Linked DNA regions of Kluyveromyces lactis. The protein of the gene in region 1 binds, or shares a complex with, the protein of each later gene. Links are inferred from orthologs where the notes say so. Each region holds a gene or a part of one and is shown in the gene's direction. Other genes may lie near its edges.

Region 1 (6,499 bases):
GAGCGTGAAGACGAGGGAAAAGAGAATGTCTCTACGATACCTTTGGTACCGGTCCTTCCATCTGTTACTAACACAGGCACTGAATGTAGCAATACCAATAAAAATAATACTACAGAAATGGAAACTGCACTTGCCGAAGATGATTCTTACAATTTCACTACATCAGTCATTGAATATTCCATTCCAGAGGAAACTTCAACTCACGAGCATTCACATATCCTACTGGAAACGTCGAAATCGAAAATTGATGTATACAACGACAGAGAAGAGACAAACAACAATGAGGCTGATGACTCAATGAATATCGTCCAGTGCACAATCCCATCACAATCGAAAATTAAACATTCCATGAAACATCCTAGGACGAAACTGAAAGGTGGCCAAGATGATATTATGCCCCACACAGATTACGATAAAGATGATGAAAAACGAGAAAGAAGGACTAGAGGCAAAGCTGTCAACTATAAACTCCCATCACTACGTGCTAAGATGCGTAGACCCACTGAAAAATTGGTGGATGCCACAACTGTCACCGATATTCATGATTTACAAGTGAAACGTAGAAATAACCAACAACAGGGAATACCGTCTGATGACGATGATCAGGAAGAACTCTTAGTGCCTGCTGGCGTACCTGACACAAATGTCGTCATTGCAACAGTGGAAGAAGAGAACAGAAAGGAACCACCGGCTTTACCATTACATGAGATTCACCTTGCACAAAACGTTAAACCTAAAATCGCTCTGAAAGAATTATCAGCTAACGCTATCAACAGAAAAGTTAAAACATCTACTGCCGTAAAAGCAATAAGCCACACTAAATCGCGAGTGCTTAAAGATGTCAAGTTCAACACATTGCCCACAAAGCAACAAGCTATTGAAAACAACTCGTCCGATCCAAATGTATCTGATGAAAATGAAAATAGCAACGTGAAACCGACAAGAACTAAACAGGCTACTTCAGATCTAGCAGCATTTGAAATTATAGATGGAATTTCTCTGAAACATGTATCCAGGACACATCGTGTCAGAGCAAAAGAAGACATGAACAAAAAACGTAAAAGAATTCATAATGACGAAATAAGCATATGATAGAACTACCTCAGCATTCAACCCGTCCCATACCAACATTCGATACCAGCATATGGCACATATCATATGAATCTTTTTTTTTTTCCGGTATTTGAGCATGATATAGATAATATTAAGTACATACATTAGATAGACAAATGATACCAATTATCCATGATCCTCAAACGCTCATCTTCATTTGAATCTTCCCATGAGGGTTATAGTCAGTTATTTCGAAGTCTTCGTATTTGAAATCGTCGATATCACTGACATTTCTCTTTATCTTCAATTTTGGGAAAGCTCTTGGCTCTCTGGCAATTTGTGTCCTTAATGCATCAACATGATCTTTATAAACATGCGCATCACCCAAAGTGTGAATAAATTCACCAGGTTCCATATCACAGACCATAGCAATCATCTTCGTCAGTAGCGCATACGACGCGATGTTAAAGGGTACTCCTAGACCCATATCACATGATCTCTGATAAAGTACACATGACAATCTTGGTTTGGCACCTTCTCCCTTGGGGAAACTGACGTAAAATTGCGAGAAAACATGGCATGGCGGTAAAGCCATCTTGGGGAAATCCGGAGGGTTCCATGCAGAAAGAATTATTCTTCTGTCGTATGGATTTGTCTTCAACTTATGAATAATCTCCTTCAACTGATCAACACCTTGACCACTATAATCATCATCACATGTCTTATATTCGGCCCCAAAATGTCTCCATTGGAACCCGTAAACTGGTCCTAAATCCCCCTCTCTTCTGTCAGTCAACCCAAGTGAGTCCAGGTACTCACGAGAACCGTTACCTTCCCATATCTTAACGCCTTGTTCTGATAATTTCTTCCCGTCTGTACATCCAGCAACAAACCATAAGAGCTCCAAAATAATACCTTTCGTAAACACTCTCTTCGTAGTGAGAAGCGGGAAAGTATCATTGCTCAAATTAAACCGTAACTGTGGAGGCGCAAAAAGGGAATAAGTCCCTGTACCAGTTCTATCTGGTCTGAATTCTCCCTCATTGATAATCCTTTCACATAAATCCAAATACTGCTGTTCTTCCGCGTTAACAGCCTCAAGCTTAACTCTCTTCACGTTTTCATCGCTCAGCGTCATGGTTGACAAATGTTGGTTGTTTAATGATCCGATAAAACGCCAAAGGAGTCGAAGGATGGTTGAAGTAAGATAGAGTTTAAACTAGAGATGGCCTTTAACTCTTAAAAGCCGTAGTCTGATTCTTAACGCGTTTTCGTGTTGTGGGAATTTTTCAATGGCCGGGTAATGATGGTGAAACAATGTCACGTGCTACCTAAATTCTTAATTCCATCCTCGATGAAGCTTTGGTCTGGCAAACGAATGCGAATCAAATTTAACCAAAGGTTACTTTGGTTAAGGAGGTACCGTTCTACTGGTAATTATACTGTCTATTAACTGTCCAATTAGAGGCAACTATCGTGTGTGTTTACCCTATCTAATCTGGGACTATAAGCGTTCCTTGTTCAAGCTTTTCTATGTTGAGTAAGTGTCAAAAAGAATATATACAAAGAAAGTGACTACCTTAATATGAGTAATAGAACTGAGCTCTTCAAAAAGTACATGCAAGTGATTGCAGAGACTCAGGGAATTGATGATGCTAGGAACGAATTGAATAATACGAAAGCGAGAGAGGATAGAGAAAAGGTGAAGGAAAAGTTTAGTGTAAAGGATACTTTTGTAAAAGAAAGTAAGCAGTTGATGAAACATATTATGGAATTCCAGATAGTGATAAGGCAATTGACTCCCAGGTACGAAAGTGCTACTGACATGACTGATCAGGAGAAAGATGATTTTGATACAGAGAGCAAACTTCAATTACAGCAATATTTCGAGAAATATAAGCAATTGGAATCGTATGAAAGACAGAGACAAGAAATGATGAAAGAAAAGTTAGAGAAATGGTCCGCAACCGTACCATTTTTCTCTAGATCAATTGACGATGTATCCAGTTTCCACAAGGTGAATAATCAATTTCGTATGGGTATATTACAGTCATTGAATATGTGGCTCATGAAGATTTCAGATAGGTTGTCAACCATTCAGCAGACACGATTATCCAGACAAAGACATATCGAAGCCATTGATTTCAATGCTCAATTACACTTACCTGAAGAAATTTCTGTATCACAGTCTCCTATGATAACGACAACTGTTGAAGAAATCAAACAGTACGAGGAAACGATGTCCAAACTCTCTTCAGAACAATTACAAATCTTGGCCACAGAGCATGAAGAACTTCTTAATTTGAAGAACGAAGAATTACAAAAAGCAGAGGCACTACGGAGAACCGCAGTAGATATTGCATCGCTACAGAGTGAATTGGCTACACATTTGCAGGTTCAAACACAAAATATTAATACATTGCTCGATAATCAGACTGACGTGGAGATGGAAATGGAAAAAGGTAACAGACAGTTGAAACAGGCCAACAGGAAAGGAGATAGGCTCGCTAACATGGTCATGTGGTTTGCTATAATTTGTGGACTGCTATTGTTATTCTTCGATTACATAAATTAAGGTTAATTCGTTTCTCTCTGTTGCAATTGCTTACTACACGGTGATACGTAATGGTGTATATATGTACGGTAAGTTTTTAATAATCTAAAGATTTGATCAACGCAGCTCCGATTGTTCTTCCCTCCTTTCTTAGAACCACCCTTCCTAACTTCTTATTTTGCTCGAATGTTAGCATTGGGATTCTTCTTTTTTTCTCCACCAGCTCGATCTCAACTATGGCAGCTTGTTGAGAACCCAAATGCTTCACTTTCTTTTTTAAAACCTTAGATGGATTACTTTTATCGACAGTACAACACAATTTTTTGATTCTACAAGGTTGTTCTGTAGCACCTCTAAAGAGCATGAGCGAGGTACCAGGTAATAACGGTCTATCCAGCCTGAAAGTCAAGAGTCTTGAGGTAAATTCTTGGGAGCTTGGGATATCAAATCCAACGATAGATGCCAAATCACCACCTTGAATATCTTCAGGGAAGGCGTTATGCAACTTCAATTGGACAAAGTCTCCATGTAATGCAATATCCACTTTTTGAGAGTCATTGCCGCATAATATTGAATCAACAACGCAACTCTGCTCAGATGGATATATTGTGATAGTTTCGCCCGGTTGAATAGTACCTGATTCTACTTTACCAGATATAATGGCGGATGTATTTTTGGAAGTTGGAGTGACATCCAAAATGTTGAAGAGGAAAGGCTCTTTGGTAACACTTTCATCAACACATGCTAGCTTCAAAGCAACATTTTCAAGTTCCCCAACGAGACTTGGTCCCTGATACCAAGTTTGAGATGGCGGATATGGGGTTTTGAAGATACCCTCACCACTTAACCCGCTGCATGGAACCCAGCTTACATCGTTACCTTTGAAACCGATTTCTTCGAAGAAAACAGCCAATTCTGATCTAATGTCGTTAAATCTACCTTCGTACCACGATACAGAGTCCATTTTATTCATGGCAACAACGATATGTTTAATTCCGAGACTTCTGGCTAGCAATGCGTGTTCTTTAGTCTGACCATCAAGGTTAAAACCTGATTCAAATGCATCGGTTCCACAGTCTACTGAAAGAACAGCGACATCAGCCTGTGAAATCCCAACAATTGCATTTGGAACAAAATCTCTATGACCAGGAGCATCAACAATGGTGAACGAACTTTTAGTAGTGGCAAAATCACTAGTACAAATGTCAACGGTAACACCCCTATTTCTTTCCTCTGAAGTTTGATCCATGACCCAAGCAAGATGGAATGAGGACTTGCCAATCATTTCACTTTCCTTTTGCAACTTACGAATCAATTTTGTATCAACAGCACCAACGTCGTATAGTAGACGTCCCATCAATGTGGATTTTCCTGCATCAACGTGACCTAGAACTACAAAATTCAAATGAGGTTTCTTGTTGTCGAGGTAGGAAGAAATATTGATTGCATTTTTAGGTTTTGTAGGAACACTCACCTTCTTGTAAGTCTTCACAACAGGCTCTTCAAAAGGTAACTTCTCATCATCATCGTCATCGTCATTGATATCCTCTTCTTTTTCAACAGTTTTTGAACTTTGTTTATCTTGTATAGATAAATCAGCGACCTTTTCTTTAATTTTATCCACCTCGAATGCTGCCTTTTGTTGGTTTATTACGACATCATCCGGAGATGGCTTGCTAAAGTTAGCAATTGCTTGTTTTTTAACTACTCTATTGTTAGTATTTGGATAATAGACTGAAAACAGTTCTTCGTGTTTCCTTTTCGTGGTTGTTGAATTAAACTCTAGTTTCTCCAAGATGCCAGAATATAACGGTACCTTGTTGATTGCCAGAATTTCGTTTATATTACTGACATATGCTGAATCTTTCAATTGGTTAAGTATGACCCATGGGTCATCCTTATCTTTCTTTTCATGATCTATCTTATTTTCTTCGATGACCACCTCTACGTTCGTTTCTTCCGCTTCGGGTTTCTCTATAATCTGTCCCTCAGGTTTACTTTTCCTGAGTGATGCCAATTTTGATGCCAATGTGTGAGTTTTCGGTTGTGAAAAGGATGCAGTTGCAGCGCCGTTACTGTTATTGTCAGTAGTAATGGGTCCCCTTTTAAGTGATTGCAATCGACTAGCTACGGATACAGTTGTTTTTACAGGATTACCATTTTGTCCATTACCACCTCCGTTCTTGAGTTTGTCCAGAAGAGAAACCTTAGTTGTTGCAGGTGCCATTGTTGAAGCCTTATTCCTTGCTTCTGCACGTTTCCTAGCCAGTAATTCTAAGGCCGATAGTTTCTTTTCCACTTTCTGTTCTGCAAACAAACAAATAAATGATACTTAGTTAGTCATATAGCTCATTAGAGATGCAATACAATACACGCTGTTCAATCAAGTCAATTGTTTTTTCTTCTGCTGCCCGTCCGAAACACAAATAAGCACCACGTTCACGACCATCATGATCAATCGACATGTCCAGCTCCGTTAGTACAATATATCATAACCCTCTTCCCGTCCACAAAGAAGATAAAATACAAGATAGGCAGACCCCCCTAGTACCAATTTTGTTTACCATGGAAGAACCAACAAGAAATCATAACTGAAAACACGTAAAAATATAAAACACCGCCACGTCCAATGCCAATTATACATACCCTTTTTCTTGAATCTTCTCTTTAAATCGACCAATGCAGGTTCTAACTCGAAATTGTGATCAAAAATCGCAACTTTCACGGCCAAGTTATCCCAACCCTGATAATCAGCTAATTGCTCCTTCGCCAGGGGAAACAACTGGTTCATCAATTCAAATTCTTCATCGTTTAAATAATCGTCAAATTCATCCTCGTCCTGGAAATCAGGTACATCGTCGTCATAATCCACAGCGTCATCATCGTCATAAA
Region 2 (5,742 bases), on another chromosome or scaffold:
AATATCACTCAAATTATCACCATAAAGAATAGTTTCGATTGCTGGTAAAACTTTAACGGTGATCGGAGGCCTGTAGGAAGCGTCAAAAGATGACGATGTGAAGTATAATGACAACCATGCAAAAATAGGTAGAGCATTAAAGAAAAATTGACCTGTGGCTGGAATCACAAATAGTAGCAGCAAAAGGGAATAGAAGAGTATCTTGAATATCCATGGTGCAGGATTTACAACAAATGAGAAAAACATTATACTCCCTAAAAACCCATAATGACATATATCTGTGGCTGAAGCATGGTAATTCTTTAGTTTCCGTATGCTTAATTTGGGATTAAAACTCGTTTCTAAATTAGCCAATCTAGAACCAGCCGGTCTATTAGCAAGAAAGGTTCGTTGGAACCAATTTGCCATTGTTTTAAAGATGCGTCGATTAGTACACTAAAAAACCAGTGACGCTAATTGGAAAAAACAATAACCAAAAAATAAAAAAACACGACTATAACAACGGCAATAGTTGAATATAATCTATCGTACGCTCTCTGATTCGTAACTCAGTGGAATGAAAGCTTCAATTAACGATATCGTCCACTTCTCTATATTAAAAAAAAACTCAACAAAAAAAAACTGTAAAAGCGTCTTTGTCCAATGCTTTCTTGGTATAAAGTAGTGAGTTAAGAGATAAAATAACAACTGCTTTCCGTAGTTTCTCAAAAACTTTTATTCTGATGTCAATAAAAGGGCTGACAACGATGATGTACCCTGGTTCACCCTTTCCATCTGTTTGTTATTTGTTTATGTATTTATTTATTTATCAATTATTTTGTTTTATTTCGATGCTGATTTTTTTTTGTTTCTTTTCCTTGAGAATCAAGAAACGTTCAACGTATTAAGAAACTAAACAATATAGGTCTAAAAGCAACAGTTAGCAGTTTAGAAACCTTACATACAAGTAAATCCTGATTACCGTTAATTTCCGACATGTTAATGAAACAAAGGACCTCGATGATGTAACAGTGTAAACACGAGTAATTTAGATGTACATTATATTATTGTTATAATAATATATACTGATAAGAGTTGAAAACCCTCACTTTAAAATTATATGTATGTATAGTGAGGATAGTCATACGCCTCAAAAGACTTTAAGGAAATGAGGAGTGAGAAATGTTATTTCTATGAAGAAAAGAGATTTTTGAATTTGTAATTGTTGCTAATGAAAGGAATTGGCAAAGCTTCATAATAAACCGATTAAAGTTTAAAAAGTTTAAGCCTTGGCAACAGCCTTCTTAACAGCGTATCTCTTTTGCTTCTTCAAAACCAAAACTTGGAATCTTTCGAAGTCAGACAAAGCAGCACGTCTTTCTCTTTGAGCGATCTTCTTAGCCCAGGAAGAAGTAGCCCATTTTTCAGAGACACCAGCAGCAGCCCACTTCTTTGAAACAGTAGCAGACTTAGCACCTCTTGGAACAGCAAAGGTCAATGGAGTCAAAACGACTTGACCTAAGTTGATAGCTTGTCTTGGGACACCAGTGGTTGGACCATCAATCAAAGCCTGGAAGGAAATTAAAATTAGACAAGTTAATGTCATGGATATTTTGTTAGTAAAAATTGTTCGATACGAGTTTATGGATAGAAACAAAAAAATAACTAGGAAAAGGACTGTCATGTTCATACCAAGTACGAGAGCCATCGAGTATTAACGACACATTCCTAACCTTACCAGAAGGAGGGAAAACAAACGTAGTCTAAACCTCTCTCTCGATGTCTGTTCAGTACAATAGTTTTTCATTCATTTCTCAAAGTATACTTTCTTTAACTCGGGAAACAGTTTATCATGAATCATTCTTTCCTCTTCCTCATATTATTCTTCGGTTCGATCCTATACATCTATGCAACTTTCCCAAATAAAGCATAAGAATACCAGATCGCAGTGTGATCGATATCTGTTCTTATTTCAAATGGAAAGATGGTACTGTACAGGGAATCTCCGTTTCATTATAATCTGTAAAACATACTCTCTTTTGGTCAATGATTTCAACAATAGTGGCCAACTTGCCGGCGGATTGGCCTTGTTTAACCAAAACAACACGGCCAACTTCGACCAATCTCCAGTTAGAAGCTTTAACAACAGAATCAGTGGACATCTTTCACTTGGTTCTTCTTCCGTTCTGTAAATCAAGACCAAACCTAATCTAATATAACGTAATAGTAAGTATTAAACCGTTATTATAGTATACCTTCAAATAGTGTAACAGATAAAGTAGTCAAACAATTTTGTTAAACCTTGGTTCCAAACTCAAACTTCCAACGCAGCCCTGTGTGTCTGTGCGTGTCTATCCGGTGAAGCTGGAATTCGCTATTGTCAGAATCCAGGACGCAGAGTACCTTGGAGTGCTTATTGATGAAAAAGTTGCGTGGGTAACAATGTATGTGGGCTACGGGTTTAAAATACATACCTATTCCAATTTAGGTATTATATTACAGGACGAATTCATTTTCATCCTAACACAGGCGCAACAAAATATGTAATGGTTGGGTGTTTAAAGGACATTATTGAAATATAATGAGATGTACAGGTGTATAAAAGGGCAGTCCCACGAAAATTGTTATCAATGTCCGCATGCTGATTGAATTATATATAAAGAGAGCGTATGAGATGAGGTATGCTGTTTGTATTCACACGATTAAACGGTGGTATTGTTAGACAGTTAATATTAGGATTGTGTTTCAAGTATGAAGCTTGTTCGTCACTTTAATAATAATAGTAACAGCATGAGCAGTAGCCACTGCTATTACTATACCTAGTTTTAGTGATGATTGAGATTTAGCAGCAGGAAGTATGGATTTGAGAAGAATTCTTATCATAATGTTTCGTGGTTTTGGGGTTCGCTTCTTTTCTTTTGAATGATGTTTTATAATTTGCGATCGAGGGCAAGTCATCTCGGGACATGCCTAGTTCCATTATGGGAGTCTTGTGGTATGCGAATAACTTTCGGTCTGACTATTATAGAAAAGAATCCTTTCATTACAACACATTCATTATAACTAATTCTTCTCTTTCTTTCACCTCAGCAGAGGTGAGGAGATAATTATCGTGTACTTCTGCACCTAGTCATGTTCCAATTGTGATCATACTTATATATACCACATATTTCTCAGGTATGGAGGATAAAGCGAACCATAACTATCTTTACGAGATGAAAACAGTTGCCTAACGTTGATTTCATATGAAAATTATAAAACTAACAAACACCAAGATCTACTCTGATTTCGATAATTATGGTTTTCGCTTTGTACCGTTAACAGCGTCATGTATAGTATTTGTATTCACCGTAGCTTTCTTGTACCTTTCGCTATGCTTCGCTGACTGAAATGAAATATCATTTCTAACGTGTTTTGAAGATTCAATTCCCATTATTATGAGCGATAGAATTGAAACACTGTCTGTACCTTAAAAGGCAGGATCAAAGTGCACCTCAGAGTTTATATTATAGCGAAACGTTCACATTTAGCAACTAGAACGCGATATAGAGCCACTCTTGCATAAAGTGAACTCTCACCATGTCGGATTCCAAGTACTCACAGGTGGAAAATGATGTATGTTCTACCAAAAAGACGTTTGATGGCAGAATAGGCTTGAACCTACAGGCGCAGTATCCTTACCGACTGTACGGTATGCAAGTGCCACTTTAAGATCGAAATTTACTAACGTAACGCTCAAACATTTTCTTTAGAATAATCAAAGGTTAGACGAATTGGCCAATAAACTATCTACATTCAGAAATATCAACCAAGATATTGGAAATCAAGCCGCAAATGACAGCTCCCTTATCGACAATATACAGAACTCATTCGGTCAACTTTTCCTTAATGTCAAGAACTCATCTACAAGGCTCCAGAGATCTATGAATGCCGGTAATAATATATGGCGTATGGTGGGTGTATCATTATTGTGTTTCTTCATATTGTACACGATATATAAGGTATTTTAAGAACCTTTTGCTTACTGACCGCAAGTACTCTTCTTTATAGGAAGAAGTTTGAATAAGCAGAAGATATTCGTTGTATATACACATATGTATACATTCAGGTAATGTAATGTCATAGCATCATCCTTTCATGCACCTTGAGCAGCATCTCTTCCCAATCTGTAATTACCGATCCCTTGTCCCCAGTTGATCTTGGCTCTAGTCACGGGTAATCTTCTTCTCAATCCCTTGAACTGTGTTTCATTCATGTACTGGAACTTATTGATGAGATTCTTTTCAAACTCGTTCTCAAACTGCTTGATGCTTACTATTGGTGAATCCGTCTGTGCTGATTCCAAGGAAGCAGTTGATTTGAAACGAACGTTACCGTCTTCGAAGTAATGAGCATCGACGGAGACTTCGCCAGAGATCGTATCCCCATCGACATCATACACATATTCTGATAACCAGTAACCAGTCCAGAAATCACCTAAACTTTTCTTGTTACTGACAACGATTATGGCATATTGGTCGCTCTCTGGAATCTTAAACACGTTGAACACAGCTGTATCAGGGAAGAAGTTTGAAACGTATTTAGACAATTCATCGTAAAGGTCTGATTGTACCTGAGTGGCATCTTCACTGGTATATTCCTCAATATCACTAGCTTCGCGGGTAATATGGTCTACGGCAAATAAAACCTTGTTTACTGGATCGAAATATTTACTTCCAGATTTATTGTATTCAGACACAAGATATCTCTCTTCACCCTTAGCAGCTGGCACTCTGTGCTTCTCATTGAATTCTTGGATAATTGAAGCAATCTGTTGCTTGCTTTGACCATCGCTTAACACTTGTAGATTATCGTAAACCAAAGAGATTTCCTCTGGAGGGGAATCGAATACAATATCTCTCACAATCTTCTCAAATTCAGACATAATATGATTTTCACAGTGTGAATTGATGTTCACCACAATTTACCTTAAAATGACAGGTTAATTGTCTCTAAATCCACTTCTTCACTGGTAGATTTTTGCCTATAACTGTAGTAAATTTTAACTTAAGAGTTCTTTACGATATCGTTATTCGTCTCATTTATTTTTTGAAAGAAAAAGGGACCTTAAATTTGAAGGAACCTAGGCTATCCATGACTTGTACTAGGGAAGAGCTGCAGTTGATTAATGACATGGAAGGCGCGTAAGGCCATGTGTTTTGGCAATATATTGAGATTTAAATACTCTTACAACTAAATAAACATGCTCTCTTGACGTATGTGCAAAGAAATAAGCTTATCATAGGATAGTATTTTTATATAGAAGTGCAGATTAAGCATGAAACAGAACAGATCCACTACTGAGCATTACTGTTAGAGCTCATGTTATAATGTTGAGGCATTTGAGGTTGCTGCGGAGGTATAGACTGCATTGACATACCGGTGTACTGAGGATATGGTGCCAATGGCTGTGGGATATGGTTCGTACCAGTATAATTGGTGTTACCGACTGAGCTCGCATAATTTTGAGGTGAGTTTATTTGACTCAAGGGCTGCTGAGTTTGTTCAGACTGTTGAATTTGTTGAGTTTGTTGAGGTAATGGATATGAATATGGCGGATTTGGTATGCCATTCATTTGCGTTTGTGTATTTGTAGGACTTGTGTATTGAGCAGTTGGTGACATTGGACTTTGTGGGCCTGGAGTTGGTGCAGGTCCCGTCATAGGCGCGGGCGGAGGCGCAGAATAAGCATAAGCATTAGATGCTCGACTTAGCAACTGGTTG
Region 3 (5,837 bases), on another chromosome or scaffold:
TGTGTAATGGAATTGAAATGTTGTACATGAAAACGTTATTATTAAGAACAGATCCAATGAAAAAGAGCAACGCTGACGTTGAATGGATAAAGAACGGTATCTTGCAGGGTTTTATTGAGACTTTCCTCCCTTTTAAGCTGACAAACTTCGGCAGTTCAATTAGGATAACGAATATAAACTGTGTAAAAGTGACCACATTTCCCAACCGATCTTTATTATCTAGTAAAAGTTCTTCTAAACTCAATACATTGGAACAGCACCCACCAAACAACGATAAAATAGCCAATATTTCTATCATTACTAAAGAAATGAAATTATGAGATCAATTGGTCAACGTAAGGGTATTCAACACATGGAATGGTTTCTATATATATAGTAACTCTCTCAATCGACAATAGGAAAAAAAGGACTAGCAATCAATTGACCTTTAAATGAATCCAATAGAGTTAATCTCATCAATCCAATTGAATTCAGTAACCATGAATACCCCTAGACTACACATCCGGAACGATTTCAAATCAACTTAAACAATCTTTCTTTCATGATGACATGTATTGTAAAGAGGTTGCCTGAATTTTATATGAAAAAACGTTTAAGAACCATAAATGCGAACCTTAAAATAGACACGCATTAAACCAACGTATTAAGGGCACGTTTGTCAGAGAAAGAACAGCGAGAAAGGCTCAGTTGAACTAAACTATTAGTGTACTCAGGAACCATTATTTATTGGCTAAAATTTTTATACTTGTACTGACCCAGTGCCATCAATAACTTTAAGGTTCTTTGAAGGTTGAGATTCCAACTGCTATAAGATGAGTTTCCTATTCTATGGAGATTCGAAGCACCTGAGGAAGCGAGAGAGCTTCCACTTTGCGACAATTGAAAAGAGTGATTATTCTAAACAGTTGCAATCATTGCCTTTGCTTCCCTCTTCCTCTTCATTGAGACAAGATCATATATTCTCCAATGTGGCCAAGGAAGTAAATCAAATCAGTGACGATGTTGCCATAATTTATTCGAGACTTCAGGAAGAAATCGATACAGAACAATCGCAGACGAAAGAAGTAAATAACAAGATCAACCACTCGGTAAAAAAACTAGAGTCTAGCTTTTCTAAGTTAGTAAAACTACGATCAAAATTCACTAAGGATTCGGATAAACAGTTAAAACAGTTCGAAAGCAAATATTCTGACATTGATAAGAAGGTACGAATAATCAGAGATGTGAATGAAGAATTATTAGACTACGTAACTAGAAACGGTAGTATAAAAGTTGATGCGACGCAATTCAGCAAAATTTCAAAGCTGTTGCAAGAAAGGTTCCCAGAGAGTAGTAACACGACAGAAACCGAAGCGAATAAGGACAATAGTGGGCAGTCACAGAACGAAGCTAATTCCGAGAGTTTGAACAGCTCTTATTCGAGGCAAAGTACAAATGGAAGCCAAAATAATGCTAAAAAAGATTATCATAGTACCAAAGGAAATTCAGCGGACTCAAACACCACCAAATCGTACCGTCAGTCGATATCCTCGGCGCCATTAGCACTGTCATCAATCCGGAGTACATCAAGGCCATCAATCGCTACAACTCTTGAGCATATATGTATCACAGAACCGTTCACTAGACCTCGAGGCATGAGCAAATCGGCTGACTTATGAAAAGTTTCATGTCAAATTTACCCATTATTGATCTGTTCCACTTTTTACTTCACCGTTCAGTACATTATCTAATATCTTTGAGAAAATGACATACAATCCAGAATCCTTGTAGAGATCAACTAAGCTCTCTTTGAACCCAGTCTGTTTCTCAATCAACTCGACAAACGTCGGATCAATTGGAATATTCCCCAGGTACGGAACGTTATATTCGCTGGCTAATTTGAAACCGCCTCCTCTAGAGAAGATATCTGTACATTCAGCACAATGAGGACATATAAATCCGGACATATTCTCGATGACACCGAGTATATTGAAGTTGACTTTCTTACAGAAATTGATTTCCTTTCTCACGTCTGCCGTAGCGACACCTTGAGGCGTGGTAACAATAATAGCACCATCAGGTGCAGCCCACCTCAACTCTTCTGCGATAGATATATGTTCATCCGAAGTTCCGGGCGGTGTATCGATAATCAAATAGTCCAAATCTCCCCAATCCACATCTTTTATAAATTGTTTAATCATAGCACTTTTCTTAGGACCACGCCATACCACACTATTACCTCTATCATCCAAAAGAAAACCCAAGGACATGAGTTTCAATTCCCCTCCTGATGTCGTAGGAACACTAACGGGTATCCAACCCTTAGAAGCCTGATAAACCTGTTTATTTTCTAAACCAAACATTCTAGGCAACGACGGTCCAGTTAGATCAATGTCTAAAACACCCACTTTGTATCCCTTTAAACATAAAGTTAATGCTGTCTGTGTGGTGACAGATGACTTACCAACACCACCTTTACCAGAAAGGACCAATATAATGTGCTTGATGTCCTTTAAGGACTCAGGCATACCCAATAATTCGGTTTCAGCTGACATCGAGATACAATTGATTATGATCCTGGGACACTAAACGTACCAGCCACTGCAGATATGACTGTATATGCTCACAGTGGACAGAATACTTATAAAAGGGTATACTGCAAATACTTTTCTCAGCCGTTTAAACAGTAGGTTGACTAATACATTTAACTCTTAGCTTAACTAGGATTTCATGATGATAATGATACCTTTGTCAGAGCGAAGGGGAAACCTTCGAGGACAATATCACGTGATTAAACTTCAACAAAAAGTTTTCGTTAAGCGAATCGATTTGGTAGTAGCTTACAGATGGACTAGGAAGTTCCAAGGTGAAACTGCACTTAATTCCCTATGGTTAGATCTGAGTATCTTGACAAATCTACACTTTGTATTTTATTGTTGAGGCACTAGAAATAATTAAGGTATGAGTTCAAACTATAGTGGAATGCAAGGTGATTTGACACAGCGAGATGCGAGTAGGACGCAATTGTTTGCGGGTACTGACTTCTCTAAGTATAAACAACAACAGGATAGACCAAGTTCGCCGTTTGATAGACCATCCCCAGGGGTAGATTATTCTCAAGCAACACTTTCGCAGCTCGAGTCTCAAAGTGATGAACAAATGAATACCATGAGTGAAAAGATCAACGCACTAAAGAATTTATCTCTACGAATGGGAGATGAGATTCGTGGTAGCAATCAGACCTTAGATCAGTTAGGAAACGTTTTTGAACAGACTAGCAACCGTTTGAAAAGGACTTTCAAGAGAATGATGGTGATGGCTCAGAATTCTCGCATTCCATTAAAAATATGGTTCATAATATTTGGTGTTCTGACACTTTTGTTCTTCTACGTCTGGATACGTTGAGAGAGCGAGAGCGAAATAAAAAACCACAAAAGGGTCATGTACTGAAGAGTATCCCATCGAGCATGTATATCTAATTCGTATTGGTTAAACGCATTCCTTCACGCATTATATGTACCATTAAAAAGATATATTAATAAATCGTAACTATCAGTATTAGGTTGAAATATAAGATTATTTATAGGAAGAATTCCTGTTCCTCAATCCATGAGCTTAGCTTCCTTCCCGAGGATACCATGAGTATCCCGTTTTGCAGCGTAACGTCTTTTCAGTTTATAATGATGAATGGTTCTGGGTATTTTCCATAACGCCAAGAATGTCACCACAACAAATAAGTAATTGATTCCGCTAAATTCGCGGAGGTAGTCAATTAATCTGAGCAATCCACTGAGTGGAGTTCTCAAAAAGATGCGTTCAATACGAAGATCAGGGTGTCTTGCGGGGAAATTCAGAATGGAGAGGACTTCGGGCAACGTCTCTAGGGTGATGTATTGTCCAGAAGCATCCTTTTCGTAATAGATGGCTTTTTGCTTGTCCACGACAATGATATCACCAGTCTTGAACTTCCTGAAGTAAACATTTAGACCTTTATTATTCAAGAGAGAAGGGGATTCATTAATGTCCAAATAGGCAAATATGACCTTGTGATTATAACTGTAATTTATCTCTTTTCTCATGGCAGTGACTATATCAACGGATGGTGCGTTTTTGTTCTTAAGCTTTTGCACCAGTTTTTTCTTTTCTTCTCTGGCCGTCTTAAGACCTTCGTACACCGCCTCGTTACGCAATATTTCATAACTATGTGCCGCTACTCGTAGGCCTTCGACGATTTTCTTTGAACCTTCTTCAAACTTATTATTCTTCTTATTAACCAATTGAATTACCAACTTGTCATAGAAATCTTGTTCAAATCCTTTTAATGCTTCAAAGTTTTTGGATGTAATCTCAGTGACAGTTGGAAGAGAGTTTATAGTGAGCCAATCCAAGATGAAGTCCAAATTTCTGGTTTCAGTTGTTGAATATCCAGGGAATATGATCGGAGTAAACGTAGATTTCTTGAATATGAAGAACGTTGGTGATTGGGTAATGGATGTCGTGATAAAATGGTCCTCATTAATTTCAGTGCGTTGATCGGTATTATAATCTTTGTACAGAGTTTGATAGAGAGTATGGCTTAACTTCTTTAGGTCGTCAGTGTTCTTGTACAAGTAAATATTAGGGATGTATCCCAATGGGTCAATGAGTTGTTCCAAAAATTGCATATCCTCAGGGACAACAGTTTCCGGGTTATAATTAAATACAAGCAATATTTTATCGGCTTCGGCATTTGCTTCCAAAATGTCACTTTTTGGTTCTTTTACAAAAGCTTCGATCTCATCCTGATCAATATTTGGAACGTTACTGTTGTGTAAAGTTCTTGTAGCAAAATCAATCAAGGATTCGCTATCGACACGCTTTGGACCAAATGGGAACTTAATAAAACTACCACTCTTGCGGTTAGGTAAGATCAATGCAAATTCCGGGGCTCTTTCTAACCTAGAGTTTCTCTTCTGAGTCAAAGTATCGAAGGACAACTCCCTACAAATGGCTTCATTCTTTGAAGAATCTGTCGGATTCACACAGTTGAAATGTACCGTATTGATTCCTATCGAGTCAGCCTTGTTACTTACCAACTTCCAAATCCGTTGAAAAAGCGAACAGTCTTCACAGTTTTTGAACTGATAAGAAGATTCGATATCTTCAAAATCAGAGGTTGGCCAAAATGAGACAAAGTATGGTTCAGTTTGAGGTTCTGATAAAATCTTCAAGAGCTCACCATCATTCAACAGTTTACTCTTGCTCGATAGTTTAGTGATATCCAGATTGTCTGCATCCAGAGCTTCCTTTCTTGCAAAATTTAGCAAAGTTGTTTCAGTCCGTTCCAAACCTCTGGGAAATGCCTTGATAAAGCCTTCTGGTCCATATAATCTGATGGTAGGGTATGAATTAATACCCTCTTTCATACATAAGTCTCCTGACTCGATACAATCCACTTGATGGAGAGATATGTTGAGCTGCAAGGATTCATCGTAAAAGCCATTGTACGTCTTTTCCCAAATTGGGGCTAGCTGCTTACAATGATGGCAATATGGACTGAAAAATTCGATGATGTGTAGATTCTTTGCTATGGTCTCGTCAAAGTTGGCTTCAGTCAATGGAGACGGTAATTTACTTTCTGGATCCGCAGCATTACCTTGATTAGGATTAGCTCTTGGTGGTGCACCTAAAACCAATGGTATCGAAAGAATCAAGTATTGCAAAAGCCACAAGTGAGAAACCATTTCGGTAATAGAACCTTTAGCTGATATTTCTTAGTAGCACAAGAATTCCTAATTGCTCCAATACCTCACTCATGTATATATATCGTATTGATTTCCAACCTTTCCTATGTTGCATGTAGTCAAAATGGGCATAAG
Region 4 (6,377 bases), on another chromosome or scaffold:
CATTAGTAGTGGTTAAAAGTACGAGATTATCCAGCAATGGAGAAAACTGGAGAGACGTTATTAGACATGTGGGATCAAATACTTGAAGGTTGTTCAATAGTTTGATATCAATTGATGAATTATCATCGTCGACAGATATCGTCCACAGAATCATATTACCGGTTGAATGAGCTGTTGCGAGTAAAGTATCATCGAATGGATTGAGCTTCAAATCTAAAATTGCCCCATAGGTTTTTATGCTAGAAAGAAGGTTCAATTCTTTATCATAAACCTCAATAGAGCCAGTTCGATTGCCTGAGTCCTTATGCAAGAGATAGGTACCCACAATGATAAATTTCTCTCTTAAAATACACAAGCAACATGGAGGAAGACGCGTGGTAACCCTTTTATCAGCTGCAGTTTCTTCCATTCTGCAGAAACTCTTGACTTCTAATTTTGTCGCTCCTCTAAGGTGGTATGCAATACCTATGTTGGAGTCGTACTCTGCATCCTCATCATGCGGGTGCTTTTGTAAAGATTGTTGAGCCATCCATCTGTTCTAGTTCAGGTTTACCACACAATTTCTTTTTTACACTTTACGTACTAGCGGAAAATTTTAATATGTTAACCAGCTCATCTCATCATAAGCAAAGCATCAGCACAACAATCTTAGCAGTTAACGGCAGGTCTACAAGCAACACGGACTAGCAGCATGCCACCAAAGGAAACAACAAAGAAGTGGAAACCTCCAAAGGGTCCAAAGCCTATTCAAAGGAAGAATAAAAACACTATTGGGTTAGGTAAGGCAATTCAAACTGCAAGACGTAAGGAAAATGAAGTGCAGTATTTGCCAGATGGTGAAGAACGTTTCACTACCGATAAGCACGAAGCTAATTGGGTAAAATTGAGATCTGTTACTCAGGAATCTGCATTAGATGAATTTTTGAGTACTGCTGAGTTAGCAGACAAGGATTTCACAGCGGACAGACATTCTAATGTCAAGATCATCAGAATGGATAACGGTGCCGATGCAGCCACATCCCAGGGATTTAGTTTGACCAATGAGCAGAAAAGTAAGATCAACGAGAAGCAGAGATTACATGCTAGAGAGTTGATTGTCCCAAGAAGGCCTAAGTGGAATGAATCTATGACCAGATTTGAATTAGAAAGGTTAGAAAAGGAAGCATTCTTGGAATGGAGACGTAAATTAGCCTATTTGCAAGAAGACAACGAGGATTTGTTATTGACTCCATTCGAGAGAAACATTGAAGTTTGGAGGCAGTTGTGGAGAGTTGTTGAGCGATGTGATCTAGTAGTCCAAATCGTGGATGCCAGAGATCCATTATTATTCAGATCCACAGATTTAGAGAAATATGTGAAAGAAGTGGATGACAGGAAACAGAATTTACTTTTGATCAACAAAGCGGATTTATTAACAAGAAAGCAACGTATTATTTGGGCCAAGTACCTTCTCTCGAGGGGCATCTCTTTTACATTCTTTTCTGCTGCCAAGGCTAATGAAATATTAGAGAGACAAGAGGAACTAGGGGATGAATACGTTGAAGAAGAGGACGATGAGGAAATACTGGCTACAGAGGAAGAAATTGAAGAACTTGATGGGGAAGAAGTGAACAAAGAAATTCTGGATAAAATTAACATACTGAAGATCGATCAACTTGAAGAATTGTTCTTAGATAAAGCGCCAAACGATCCGCTACTTCCTCCATTGCCCGGTCAAGAGCCAATCATACAAATAGGTCTAGTGGGTTATCCAAACGTTGGTAAGTCTTCCACTATAAATGCCTTGGTGGGTGCCAAGAAAGTTTCTGTCTCTTCTACCCCTGGTAAGACCAAACATTTCCAAACTATCAAGTTATCTGATAAGGTAACGTTATGCGACTGTCCAGGTCTAGTTTTCCCTAATTTTGCATACAATAAAGGTGAATTGGTGTGTAACGGTGTTCTACCGATCGATCAGTTACGTGACTATATTGGGCCATCGACATTAGTGGCAGAAAGGGTCCCTAAATACTTTTTGGAAGCCATTTACGGTATCCATATTCAGACCAAATCCGTAGAAGAGGGTGGGAATGGTGAAGTACCAACTGCACAAGAATTACTCGTTGCTTATGCCAGAGCTCGTGGTTATATGACACAAGGTTTTGGTGCCGCAGATGAATCTCGTGCCTCTCGTTACATTCTCAAAGATTATGTGAACGGTAAACTCCTGTACATTAATCCACCGCCTCACATGGACGATGATACGCCATATACCAGAGAAGAATGTAAGGAATTCAACAAAGATTTATACACGTTCAGTAAATTACCTATCAACAGACAAGAGCAACTTGCAGAAGCTGCCAAACACAAAGGTATACAAGATTTGGATCTTGCTCGCGATTTAAGTCGATTAACGTTCTCTGCTCATATTGGTGGTGATGGTGATAAAGTACAAGCTAAATCTGTCAACCATGGTGGTAAACAAGCAGCCTTGTACAACGTAGCTGATGAACTTGACAAAAATTTCTTCCATTTGAACGGTGTTCAAGGCAGACTTACGAACCCTTTCCATAAGCAAACCGTCGCCAACGAAAATGGTAAGAAGCATAACAAGAAGAACAAGAAGAGTAAGAAAAAGGCTTCCATGTTTTCCGATTAATGTAAGTACTATCTAAATTCATCCTAAACTCTTATATATATATAAATCCACTGTTTGCACAGTCTATTATCCCCATTCATTATGGAAATGTAACTGCATATCCTTTATATCTTCCTTAGCTGCCCTGCTTCCGGTTATAAGACCTATGGTTAGCATGCAACTTGTCACTGCATTACCCGGTGTTTACTGAAAAATTTGATGAACCAAAAGAAAAGGATACAAAACTTGGTTAAAGTTGGTTTACTTTATACTTGACCTCAGTACATGGTCCAGTTGATAAGTATTCTTGTCATTTGTGGTTATCTTTTTGGTTCCTAGCTCAGCAAACAAGGGCTCTTAAACACATTTCGGCATGTTCAATTATGGTTCGCGTTGTGGTTATCATGGCGCAGACTTATTCCACGCATGTAGAAGTAAGCTCAAGATGCCCAGAGCTGGGATACTCCCATTTAACGCCCTTTTCGCTAACAACAACTGAATTCCTACAGTTTGTAGTTTGATAGTAGGTGGGCGGAAATATTACCCATTTAATTGGTTCAGTAGTTTCCTCTGAAATATTATGAGAGTCGTATGAATTTGTATATCAATAAGATTTAGCAATAGTTAACCAAGTTCAGCCTTATGTTATACTTACCATCGGTAGATACATTAAGTAGCACTCGGTCCACTCTTTCTTACATGCGCTTTTGTAAGGGTTGGCAAGGGTCATGCTTCAGAGTGAATGACTTTCATTCAGACAGCTCTGTTATTTCTTTGATTGAGGTTTGGGATAATATTTTAGTGACATAAAACAAAATGTAATATAGCCTTTAAAATAATACTTAGTACAATTCCAATCACAAATAAAAAGGGATAGCGCCTCGTTAAAGGACATTAACTGACGGAATATGACGACAGATTTAGACACATTAAGTGATCAACTACGCAAAAATTATTACAGGGACCTTTCGCTCTTTCAAGATGACGAAGACCCTTTTTACCATTATCTTATATCTACAAAACTGGCCACAAACTTAAATACCGTGAGAAAACTGGCTATAAAGGATAACTTGGATGATCCGTCTTCTGATGCTATTGATAGATACCAGAAAAACTTTAGCAGACTAGAGGAATCGGTTAGCTCTATCAGTTTCTCCAAAGCTTCTAAGTTGCAACAGAAATATGATGCATATCAGGAATCTCAAAAGAAAAGGCGATATAGTGTTGATTTCGATGCAACGCCCGACGTGCCTATAGGAGATGAGGACGATGTTGATATAATATCCAATGTTGAAGCAATTAATGACAACGATTCTTTGAAGGAGCTCCGCCAAAGGCTTATGGGTAAAAGAAGGGACAGCGCTGATACGGAGGGTGAATCATTTGACAAACAAATGCAAATTCAGGATGATCTTCAGAAGGAACTGGTTGAAGACATGTCCCAGCTAGTTTCAGGCTTAAGACAAGGTGCGGAAGCTTTCCAGAATGCTATCGAACACGACTCTACTGTTCTTAAGGCAGCAGAAATCGGATTGCATGTTACTTCTAAGAGCCTTTCTTCACTCGGATCCAGATTGAAAAAGTATCACAATGAAAAAATTGGATTTTTAATGAAGTTAGGACTTTTATCGTTTATTATAATTGGTCTATTGGTCACCTATCTTGTAATAAAAGTATTTCCAGATTTATGAGTGTCTTCCGCTAAAATCTCCAAGATTTAGATAAAGGCTCTGCTTCACTCAAAAGCTTCAAAGTACAAAATAGACTCATGAATATTCGATGAAATTAATTGATACCGTTTCCACTTATCGAATAGATTGATTCTATTGATTGTCTTATCTATAATTGCATATTATACACTTGTTTAAAATTGACAGGCACTTATATTGTTATAGGACTATTGACTACAGAACATCAAACATTAAATCAGCTTTATTACCAACATCACTGACAAATTCTCTACTATCACCGGCTAATAATTCTCTTCTGATTTCAGGTCCAATTTCTTTGTGACCTCTTTGACGAACAGTTTCAAGTAGGAAATCTCTTTGATCTTGGGTAATATCATTCTTATAACGTTGAGCAAACGCTAAGAAAGCTTTATGCCATACCACAGGTAAGACTCTGACGGCATCTTGGCCTGTACTTCCATCAGTGACTTCTCTGAATCTCATGAAGTAGAAGACACATTCGTCAACAGTTTGATAAGGCAAAGCATACTTCTTCTCGAGTAGAATTTTGATGAAAACGGTGGTGGCTGGGGAAAAAGGTAATCTTAAAAGGTAGGACAATGCTGCAGCAGAATGAAGAGCTGGCACAGAGACCTTGGATAACACACTTGCAGCAATGGTAGCTTCTCTAACATTACAACCGGATTCCACAAGTGGGAATAAGAACCCTTTGAAAAAGGCAGCCGGTTTATACAATGATTTCTTTAATGCACGGTAGACATGGTAATTTAAGTTGTGATCTTCGTTAAATTCAATTTCTTCTCTGAAGCGTGGTAACAACACAGCTATAACGAATTTTTGGGCCTCTTTAGATGATAAGTTAGAAACAAAAAGTTTAGTACCTTCGTATATAGCATGCGGAGACCATTCCTCTGGATTAGTAACATAGAGAACATCTTGCCAGTTATTTAGAGAAGGCAAAACTTTGAATAGTTTGGGTAGTTTACCATGTCTCCAGGTCTGCATAATGGTACCAACGGCAAGGTATGCTTGAATCACCTTGGGTGGTAAGGCGACACCTTCTGTACGATCTACAGGTGCAGCTGGTTCCGCTACTGCAGAGGCATCACCTGCTTCTTCTTCATTATACTGTAGTTCCATCTCTTTTTCTCTAATAGAAGCCATAATCTTATCGGCAAGGTTATATGATCCATTGGCAGAGTTGAAATCAGCAGAAGTCTTGAAATATTGGTCAAACATTTCAGCATCTTCTTCGTCAATTTCTACCACTTCTTCCTCCTCGTATCCTTCGAAATCGTCTTCATCTTCCGGTTCAAAGTCAGATATGTTATTACCTTGAGCTTCCTCTTCCTCAGCTACATCATCTTCATCCGCATAGTTGGCCACACAGAATCTGTTTATTCCTTGGCTGGATGTCTGCAGAGACTGCTCGTCCTCTTCCTCTAATTCTTCCTGCTGTTCCCTAGCTAATTGCAAAATTTTTCTAGATTGCTGGGCATCGACAAATTCTTCATCTTCATGGCCTTTTTGATCCTTAGCATCGATCTTTTTCTTACCTTGTCTTTTCAACTTACCATGTTGAGAGTCAAGATCGTTCAATAAAGGATCGTGTCTCTGTTTACGACCGCTGCCACCCATTACTTTACCCATTTTCTCCGTAGAACAAATAAATCTTGTATCACTAGTCGTATTCTGAGCACTAAAGCAGACACTAATGAGTAATTTTGTGATTGTTATCTGCCATTTACCTCATCTCATCTCATCTCATCTCATCTCATCGCTTCTCATCTCATCGTTACTTATTCAAATCCCAAAAATTTTCAGTCAATGCACGGACAGAAAAAGAAAGGCTAGAGATACTCTGTTTAGAGAAGTCAAAGGTTCAATTAAATAACTCTGGAGCATTGGCAGCGGGATCGTCGTGATTGAAACAGATATGCCACAGCGTTGAACACAAATTCAAGCTACTGTAAACAGCCAAGAGCTATGTTCTTCTAATGATTACAGGCAAAGAATGTTGTTTGTTTTGCACGTGACTTTAAAATCTGGAAAGATTTTTCAACTGCAGC

The links.
Region 2: UFE1 (region 1) and SFT1 share a complex: the UniProt entries of both Saccharomyces cerevisiae proteins name them as parts of the SNARE complex. The link is inferred for Kluyveromyces lactis from reciprocal best matches to the Saccharomyces cerevisiae genes UFE1 and SFT1.
Region 3: UFE1 (region 1) and BET1 share a complex: the UniProt entries of both Saccharomyces cerevisiae proteins name them as parts of the SNARE complex. The link is inferred for Kluyveromyces lactis from reciprocal best matches to the Saccharomyces cerevisiae genes UFE1 and BET1.
Region 4: UFE1 (region 1) and USE1 share a complex: the UniProt entries of both Saccharomyces cerevisiae proteins name them as parts of the SNARE complex. The link is inferred for Kluyveromyces lactis from reciprocal best matches to the Saccharomyces cerevisiae genes UFE1 and USE1.

Annotation. Positions count from the first base shown.
Region 1 is NC_006037.1:694,318-700,816, reverse strand, and holds UFE1 (Ufe1p), read left to right. Parts: upstream 1-2,638; coding exon 2,639-3,628; downstream 3,629-6,499. Other genes in the region: SGO1 (Sgo1p), read left to right, coding at 1-1,092; CDC21 (thymidylate synthase), read right to left, coding at 1,253-2,191; ribosome dissociation factor GTPase HBS1, read right to left, coding at 3,705-5,938, 6,254-6,499. UniProt on the Saccharomyces cerevisiae protein: Syntaxin required for targeting and fusion of Golgi-derived retrograde transport vesicles with the ER.
Region 2 is NC_006038.1:1,173,541-1,179,282, forward strand, and holds SFT1 (Sft1p), read left to right. Parts: upstream 1-3,558; coding exon 3,559-3,594; intron 3,595-3,731; coding exon 3,732-3,989; downstream 3,990-5,742. Other genes in the region: AUR1 (inositol phosphorylceramide synthase), read right to left, coding at 1-408; RPL14A (60S ribosomal protein eL14), read right to left, coding at 1,262-1,549, 2,013-2,141; CAP1 (Cap1p), read right to left, coding at 4,115-4,903; ESCRT-0 subunit protein HSE1, read right to left, coding at 5,316-5,742. UniProt on the Saccharomyces cerevisiae protein: Vesicle SNARE required for retrograde transport within the Golgi complex.
Region 3 is NC_006040.1:1,197,389-1,203,225, forward strand, and holds BET1 (Bet1p), read left to right. Parts: upstream 1-2,940; coding exon 2,941-3,384; downstream 3,385-5,837. Other genes in the region: YEA4 (Yea4p), read right to left, coding at 1-298; VAB2 (Vab2p), read left to right, coding at 813-1,658; iron-sulfur cluster assembly protein CFD1, read right to left, coding at 1,683-2,534; protein disulfide isomerase EPS1, read right to left, coding at 3,582-5,702. UniProt on the Saccharomyces cerevisiae protein: SNARE required for targeting and fusion of ER-derived transport vesicles with the Golgi complex.
Region 4 is NC_006042.1:638,192-644,568, reverse strand, and holds USE1 (SNAP receptor USE1), read left to right. Parts: upstream 1-3,525; coding exon 3,526-4,308; downstream 4,309-6,377. Other genes in the region: RRT2 (diphthamide synthase), read right to left, coding at 1-529; ribosome biogenesis GTPase LSG1, read left to right, coding at 692-2,638; snoRNA-binding rRNA-processing protein ENP1, read right to left, coding at 4,522-5,958. UniProt on the Saccharomyces cerevisiae protein: SNARE required for targeting and fusion of Golgi-derived retrograde transport vesicles with the ER.